Linked DNA regions of Caenorhabditis elegans. The protein of the gene in region 1 purifies or fractionates together with the protein of each later gene. This does not show direct contact. Each region holds a gene or a part of one and is shown on either strand. Other genes may lie near its edges.

The links.
Region 2: the proteins of cnt-1 (region 1) and rab-5 purify together in Caenorhabditis elegans (affinity purification with western blotting, with the first as the bait; one study listed by BioGRID). This does not show direct contact.

The regions. Positions count from the first base shown.
Region 1 is NC_003280.10:12,085,834-12,090,756, forward strand, and holds the start of cnt-1 (Truncated cnt-1), read right to left. Parts: upstream 3,036-4,923; 5' UTR 3,029-3,035; coding exon 2,957-3,028; intron 2,912-2,956; coding exon 2,778-2,911; intron 2,640-2,777; coding exon 2,463-2,639; intron 1,809-2,462; coding exon 1,670-1,808; intron 788-1,669; coding exon 698-787; intron 1-697. UniProt on the Caenorhabditis elegans protein: GTPase-activating protein for the ADP ribosylation factor family. Regulates endosome recycling downstream of rab-10 and upstream of arf-6.
Region 2 is NC_003279.8:9,306,573-9,310,767, forward strand, and holds rab-5 (small monomeric GTPase), read left to right. Parts: upstream 1-1,869; 5' UTR 1,870-1,872; coding exon 1,873-1,963; intron 1,964-2,259; coding exon 2,260-2,348; intron 2,349-2,551; coding exon 2,552-2,863; intron 2,864-3,063; coding exon 3,064-3,198; 3' UTR 3,199-3,649; downstream 3,650-4,195. Other genes in the region: nmat-2 (Nicotinamide/nicotinic acid mononucleotide adenylyltransferase 2), read right to left, coding at 19-128, 176-247; uev-3 (Ubiquitin-conjugating enzyme E2 variant 3), read left to right, coding at 3,757-3,817, 4,182-4,195.

The sequences.
Region 1 (4,923 bases):
AAAAATTTTTTTTTAATGTTTTTTACCAAATTTAGAATGCTAAACGGCTAAAAGTTGGAAGTTTTTGAATATTTTAATAAGAAAAATTCAAAGGAAAATGGCTAATATTGAGATGTTTTTTTTTAATTTTTGAGTAAAAAACGGGAAAAAAATTATTTTTGATTTTTTTTTACCAAAACTATAACTACAGTGGAAAAAAGTTTTTTTGAAATTTTTAGTGAAAAATTATAATGCGAAACTGCTAAAAATTGAGAAATTTTGTAATTTTTGAGTCAAAAAACTTTTAAAAAAATTTATTTCGGGCTTTTTCGCAAAATTTAAAATTTCAAAACTCTCAAGTTTTTGAGTTTAAAAATTCAAAAACAAATTTTTTAACAAAGTTCTAATGCATTACAGTTTAAAATAAAATATTTTGAATTTTTAGTTAAAATTTTTTTAAAAATTTTATTTTAATGTTTTTTTTTGGCAAAAGTAAAATGTTAAACGGCTACAAAAAAATTTATAAATTCTTAAATTTTTGAGCAAAAAATCAAGAAATTGATCTTTCTAAAACTCTTACAGCTAAAAATAAAATATTTTGAATTTTTTTCAAATTTTTGGAAAAAAAAAGTTTCCGTTATTTTATGTGATAACTCTCACATTAGCCGAGGGAATTTCTAATTTTTTTAACCAACAATTTTCAAAATTCAAAACGAACCGCATCGAGAATCATATGGTCCTTGTGTGCATGTGCAATATTAATATTTGCCACGTAGTCGAGTGTGGTGTGTGCGAAGCAAGTGCCGACCTGGAAAAGAGCGGGTTTCTTGGTTTGAAAAAAAAAATGTTTTTATTTGTTTAAGGGTTTTTGAGTGGTTTTTCTTGCAATTGAGACGCTTTGTGAGAAACTATTTAAGGTGAAGCAAAAAAAAAAACGACAAAATTGAATGTTTTATATAACCAGAAATTTTGATTTTGTTAAGAACATTTTTAAATTTTTCGATTTATTGTTTAAAAAATAGACTTTTTTTTTCAGAAAATTCTTTTTTTTTCAGTAACATTATTAAATTTTTATCCAAAAATTAATCAATTATTTATTTTAACAATTTCTCGAAAAATAAAATAATCTTGAAAAAAATAAAAAAGAAGATAATATATTTGGAATTTTTTTTACTGTAAAATCGGCTTTTTTTGATAAATCAATATTTCTTTTTTCAAAAAATTGATTGTTCGCTTTAACGATTTTTATATTTCTCGAAAAATATAAATCTTTAAAAAATTACAAAAGAAATGTTTTTAAATTTCTTTTCAGTAAAAATGGGCATTTTTCAAGAAAGTCGATTTTGAATTAGGTTTTTTTCTCTGTTTTTTTTAGTTTTTCGAAAAATTAAATTTAAAAAAAAAATTTCAGTAAAGTTAACATTTTTTTGATGAATCAATAATTTTTGTTGCAAAAATTAATTTACGATTTTTATATTTCTCGAAGAAAAAATTTTAAAAATTTACAAAAAAAAATCACTAAGTAATTTTTTTGGCGAAAAAAAGATATCTGTTTTTTAATTTGTAAAAAAAAATTTCAGTACAATACCTATTTTTAGAAAGAAATTTTTTTCAAAAATTTGGATGAATTTTTTTTTGGTTTTTTATCGAGAATTTCGAATATTTTTCGTTGAAAATTCAAAAAACTCACCGCAGTAAGTGCATTTCGCCCTTCTGTCGCATCTGCAGGCTTTTGCCTTGAAATACTCGCATTTTTGACTAATGCATCATCCATTGATTGGGACATATTCTCAAAATGTGCACGGGATTCTGCCACTTTTGTGAGCTCACTTAAATTAGATTTTAGAGGAAACATTTTTGAATTTTTTTTATTTCGAAAAATCTAATTTTTAATTGAATTTTCAATTTTCTGTTGTGAATTATGCGATTTTTGGTTAAAAACACTTGAATTTTGGCTGGAAATTTATTATTTTTCGAAAAAAATTGCCTTATATTGTTTTATACGTAAAATTGATTTTTTTTTTAATTTGGCGGGAAATTCAACTTTTCAAAAAAGATTTTTTTTTTGAAAAATTACCAAAAAACCCGAGAAAAAATCGAGTTTTGCCTATTTTTTTGCAAATTTTTTTACAGGAATTTTAATTTATTTAATTAATTAATTAATTAATTTTTTCCAATATAGAAATTTTTTTGAAGTTTTCTGGCTCAAAAATTTTTTTAAAATTTTTAGCTCAATCCAAATACCTTTAGTTCAAAAAAAATTAAAATTTTCGATTGTTCAAATTTGTCAATTTTCTGTACCTCTAGAATGAATAATCTAGTAAATCAGCGGGAAATTTGAATTTTTCACCTCTAAATTTAAAGTAAAACGAAATTTTGATTTAAATTCGCTTAAACTCGTTATTTTGTAATTTTCGGCCTTTTTAACTCAGAATTTATCGATTTTTATGATTTTTCGCCAAAAAAAACTCCGGAAATCTCACATTTTAATGAAATTCGACAGTTTCGTGAAAGTGACCACATTTGAATGGTCGAAATACGTGCGAAATAGGTTAACAGTGTGTGCATAGGCTTCTGATAATCCTTGGAATGTTGTAGACGCCAATGGATTGCCGGAGAAGCTTTCATCGCATAATTGATTCACCGAAACCGTTAATTTGCTGGAAAAAACGGGGATTTTTTGAGAAAATTTGAATTTTTGGTTTTGAAACGATTATTTTTCGCTATGTGCCTTTAAAATACAGTAATCTGAAAGCTTAATCGTTTCGAGACCCCAAAAATGAATTTTTTTCACGTACTAAAACGTGTTCGTATAATTTTTGCTGAAATCAATCATTGCAGTGATGTGTCGGAGCATTTCGTTGAGCCGATTCTCTAATCGATTAAAATACATTGCATGTTGAGCGACTGTTGCGCGGAATTTTGGAGAATCCTGCAAAAATTTTAGGTTTTTGGTGTATTTTGAGGGAATTTCTACCTGAATTGCCTCGGAGCAGTCGATTTTTGGCGGAACAGACGGCATCGCCATTCCATTGTTTGATACTGTCATAAAATCTGGAAATTTATCGATTTTATACGAAGAAATTGAGTTTTTTCGGCTGAAAATTGAGAAAAAATAATCAAAAATAATTAATTGATAATATTGCGTCGTCAATTTCAATGCCAAGTATGCAAACACCACAGGTGCACAGAACAAGATCTACCGTACTCTTCAATTAATTAATTGAAGAGTACGGTAGATCTGGTACTGTGCAGCTGTGGTGTTTGCGTACTTGGCATTGAAATTGACAGCACATGTTTATCAATTAATTAATTTGGTTTTTAAAAACGCAATTTTAATAGAAAAAATGTCGAAAAAATGGTAAAAAAACATTTTTCTCTTGAAAATTTTCATTTTTAATAGCTAAAAATAGAAAAATAAACTGAAAACAGTCTTGATTTTAAAAAAATTGCTTAAATTTTTCACTTGAAAAAAATTCAAAAAAGTCTGAAAAGTCCGATTTTTAGAAGAAAAACTAATTTTATCACCATTTTTCTGTACAAAAATTATCGAAACTTATGGAAAATAACAAAATTTTCCCAATGTTAAAATAAAAGTTTTAAGTTTAAATTTTAAAATTAATTTTATTTCCAAAATTTCGCAAAAAAAATCCTATAAAAACGACCAACAATTTTTGGGTAAAAAAACTTTTTTTTTGATAAGTGGCTGTAAATATGCCACGTGGCTTTTGAAATTAAAAAAAAAAACATTTTCAAATGTTTTTTTCAACAACTTAAACTTCCGTATGCGCCTTTAAAGAAAACCAAAAGTCCATATCACTCGCACAATAAAGGAAAAAGAGAAAAATTCCAAGACACGTAACAAAAGCCTCAGAACAGAAAAAAAAAACAGAAAAACAGCCGGTTCTTCTTCTCTCTTGCCGCTACGGCTGCCGCTGATGATGATGGTGATGAACAGGAAAACGAGGGAGAGAAATAGAGAAGAGACGCAGGCAGTTAGACGGCGGGAGAAGAACATCGCGACAACTTTTCGGACGGAGGTCATTGTGTTTGTGGGGGGAAGAAGAAAAGGACGAAATTTTTGGAGAAAAAGGACAGTCGTATATAAACATTCACTGCTTGTTTCTCTAGGAACTCTCTTGATTTTCAATACTCTTTTTTTGTGGAGAGAGCTTGAGAATGAAATTGGGTGAGAGGAGGAGAAGGGGAGGCACCGAGAGCGCAACTAATTTAATATTCTCTTACTTTGCTTTTCTAGGCAGACGAGAAAGAGTTACGGGGAAATTGGAATTTTGCAATGCAACAACATTACACATATGTACACGTGGTACCAGAGTCTTATTTCGGTTTGATCTACGCAGATCTACAAAAAATGCGGGAGTTGAAACGCAGACTTCTCAACTGACTTCGCAAGGTTAAGAGCGTGCTGACGTCACATTTTTTGCGGGAAAAGTTCCCGCAATTTTGTAGATCAAACCGTGTTGGGACAGCCTGGCACCACGTGATTATCCAACAAAAAATACTTTTTTCATCAAAATTTAGTGATAAAATAAAAAAATTTTTTTATCTGAAAATATGTTTTATTTGACTTGGAAACATTGCAAAAAAGCTCAAAAATTAATCGGCAAATCAGCAAACCGGCACATTACCGGAATTGAATTTTCCGGCGAATCGGCAAATCGGCAAATTGCCGGAATTGAAATTTCTGGATAATCGACAAATTTCCGGAATTGAAATTTCTGGATAATCGACAAGCTTGTCGGAATTGAAAGTTTTCGACAAATTGGCAAATTGCCAGAATTGAAACTTCCTGCAAATCGGCAAAATGACAAACAGCCGGAATTGAAATTTCCGGCAAATCGGCAAACCAGGCAACTTGCCGGAATTGCAGTTTTCGGCAAATGGGCAAAATGACAAACAGCCGGAATTGAGATTTTAGGCAAT
Region 2 (4,195 bases), on another chromosome or scaffold:
CTTAAAAACTTTTTCTACCGAAAATTAGATTTTATAAGCGTTGGTTTATTGTTGTATGAATCAGCAACGGGACTCATTATTCCTTCAACAACTTGTGTATTAATCGTTTCGAGATGTGACCTGGCGACCTGAAAATTCATATATCATACATTTAATGTTTTTTTTATTTGATTACCTCAAGCATACGTAAATGTGCAATTGTTGGTGGATTGAACGACCCGACGGCAAGAAGAGCGACTCGTTTCATCGTTTTATCACAATATTTATTGAAACTGAAAAATATTTTGTTTTCTTCTGAGCTATTTAGAACGAAACGTTTTTGAAAAAATATGAAAAATATCGAGAGTGATCAGAAACGAAAAATTTTTTTTAAAAGTGTGTCAAAAAATGCAAGTCAGGTGGAAAATCAGGATACGTTTAGGAAATTTCTTATTTATTGAACCTTTTATTCACAAAATCGACAAATTTTTATGATTGGGAAATATTAAAATTAAGCATGAAACAAATTTAAAATGAGAATTTTAATGTGAAAACATTCTAATACAGTTTACTCTTAAAGGGACATGGCTCAAACAAAAAAAGTTGTCTCGCAACGACTCAGCTACAGTAGTCTCTTTTGAATTTTCTTGAATATTATTTGAGACCCGAAGAACTCGGGGGATGTCCAATTGGGGGGATTACCAACTCGGGGGATTGGCCCCGCCCACAGAACCGTGGCTTGCAATACGCCCATTTCTGCAACTGCCGCACGGTTTTAAAATTATTTTTTCTTGTTATTTCTCGCTCTATTGAGAAAAATACAGTTTTAAAACCGTGCGGCAGTTGCAGAAATAGGCGTATTGCAAGCCACGGTTCTGTAGGCGGGGCCAATCCCCGAGTTGGTAATCCCCCCAGTTGGACATCCCCCGAGTTCTTCGGGTCTCTATTATTTCACACTTTTTCCGCTTAATTTTGCGCGTTTTTTTTAAATTTAGCCAAAAATTACCGGAAAATAAAAGTTTTTCGAAATGAAAAATAATTTTCATCAAAAATGTAAAATTGGCCTAGCGCGAAAAAATATAAATTCGAAAGCGCGCGCACCGAAAAGCCTCCTCCCGTTTTCATCCATTTTTGTCTAACTGTCTGCGATGTCACACAAACATTGAATACTCAGTCAACTGCGCCCGTCACCACCCCAGAAGGTACGCAGCCAAATTGGCTACCCCCGACGAAGCCCGTGTGTGTCATCGATGTCTGTTGCGCAAATATTTCTTTTTTTTAGTTTTATTGATTTTCATATATCCTGCAATTTAATTCGTTCACTACTTTTGGATGCTTCCAGAAAACTAATTTTAATCTCAAACTTCATCAAAACTTGAGAAAAAAGTTTATCAATTAATCAAATTACACGTGATGAATAATATGCAGAGATAAGCAAACTGAATTGATGAAAATAGTGATCAAAACCCGTATTTCTTTATCGATTTCATCACAATTTCGTTCCTCGTGAGACACCCGTATGAATCAATAATACGCTTGTTTACCACTCTTCAGTCTCTCGCGTGCCTTCAATCTTTTTCGGAAATTGCTCATTTCAAATCAATTTTTCCACTTTTTAAGTACAAGGATTTTTAGAAATTTTTCTAGAAATTTCAGGGATTCAAAATTGTTTTATCAATGAGAATTGAGATATAGAATTTTAGTCGAACATTATTTTTTTTGTTCTTTCTGGAAAGAAAAATGCAACATTATTTCTCTTTGAAACCATTTTGATATTTTTTCAGCTGAATCCTCCCTCATATCGTTTCCTATGTGAAATTATGCTTATTTTTTGCTTGTAATTTATTCGATCGATTTTTAATGTAATAAATTCAACAAATTTGTATTTAGAAAATGGCCGCCCGAAACGCAGGAACCGCCCGGCCTGGAGGTCCAAACAGAACGTGCCAGTTCAAACTCGTTCTTCTCGGAGAAAGTGCTGTAGGTGAGTTGATACTGAAAATGGAAAAAACCGCTAAAGGTTGGAGTAGAAAATAAAAGCAAACAAGAACAGTTTTCCAAAAAATAAAGATTTTTTTATTCTACTCCGTTCTGTCTGTAGCATATTTCGCAGTTGCTGAAAACCGTCACAAAATTTCGAAATTGCGTTGATTTCGAAGTTTAATTCTTCGTCTTTTGATTGTTTATATGTTTAGAATTATGGGTCATCTGATAGTTGCTAGCATATGACGTATATGCTCTCTTATTTCACCTAAACATCACAGAAAACTATCATTTCAGGCAAATCATCTCTCGTATTGCGATTCGTCAAGGGACAATTTCACGAGTATCAGGAGTCGACTATAGGTGCTGCGTTCCTCACTCAAACTGTGAGTTTTTGAATTTTTTGTGAAAATATAACAATTTTCCCTAATTTGAACAAAAATTTTGACTAAAATGAAAAATCTCGAATTTTAATAATATATTGTTTTTTAATAATATAATTGCGGAGATTTTTGCTCGAAAAACACGGATTTTATATTGAAAGACGTAAAAACGTTAATAATTAAGAATTGAATTTTCGAAATTTCAGGTGTGCCTTGACGATGCAACAATTAAATTCGAAATCTGGGATACTGCAGGACAAGAAAGATATCATTCATTGGCACCAATGTACTATCGAGGAGCTCAAGCGGCTATTGTTGTCTACGATATTACCAATCAAGAATCTTTCCAAAAAGCGAAAAATTGGGTAAAAGAACTGCAGCGACAGGCATCTCCAAATATTGTGATGGCATTGGCTGGAAACAAGGCTGATGTTGCCAATAAGCGAACTGTTGAGTATGAAGAAGCTAATGCTTATGCTGAGGACAATGCTCTCTTGTTCATGGAGACATCTGCGAAGGTACATTAGAAAATTTGGATTTTGACAATAAAAACATGTTAACAGAGTACTGAAATAGATCAAAAACTAAAATTGTTATTAAAAATAACAATAAACTTTGTTTTCTGCGAAGATAGTTTTTGAACTAATCTCCATTAAAAAATGAATGAGAAATTTAAGATTTCCAATTTAAAATCAATTCTCTATTTATTTAATTACAGACCTCAATGAACGTGAACGATATTTTCATGGCAATAGCTAAAAAGTTGCCAATCGGACCAGCACAGGGTGAACCAACGGGAACTGTCGATATGAACCAACCACAACAGCAACAAAAGGGTTCATGCTGTAAATAAATTGACGACTTTTTCATGTACCATCAACCCTTCTAGCTCCGCTCCTCTTTTGTTCTATATATCTTTTGAATCCAACGCCTGTGATCGTCGTCATTGTTTTCCCCTCGAAAAAAAAACACTTTTGAACAAGTTTTTTGTGCTCGCTTTCTTTATTTATTTTCACTCTTTTAACCCATATTTTCTCATTTTTTGTATATTTCTGACTAATGTTCAGCCAGTGAATGAGCTTGCACAATTGGCTCTGCCCATTTGCTTTTTATATGCGAAAACTCCCATTTTTTCATTCAAATGTTCCAATTATTTATTGCTTCTCACCATCAACATCCAAGTCCCGAACCCCACCATCCCACTGTTAGTACTTTTCTCGTCAAAGTTTCACCACCTTTTTGTCAATTTTTTTTCAAAATTTTATAGCATCCTTTCAGAATCTATCCGAATAAATTGAAGTTCGAAAATGTATATACTTGGTAACACAAAACCCTTCGTATACGATCGATATTAGATATTGAATTCAATTTTCTGAAAAACAACAAGGTGAGAATTATTTGAAGAATACAAATGTCCGATCAACCTGGAACAAGTAGACCGCCTCTTCGAGCAGAACCAACGCCCACAAAAAGTAAATGCTTTTCAAATCAATTGAATTCAAAAGAAAGTTAAATTTAAAAATTAAATAAATTTACTTTAAAATATACAAAATCATCTGAGATTTTTTAATTTTTTTAAATTTTTACATTCATTTTTTAAATATGTATCTGATTTTTTTTTCGAAAAGCAATGAAAAAGTATGGAAAATTATTTGAAACTACAGTACTCTTTAAAGGCGCGCACCTTTTTATATTTAACAATAATTTGTCGTGTCGAGACCGGGTACCGTGCCTGTAGTGAAAAAACACAAAGAAAATAGTTCTGTAATTTTTGTCATCAATTTTAGCTTTTTAAATCAAACTTTCTAGTAGGAACTTTGAATTTTTAATTTTCAGCTGCAACACGTCGA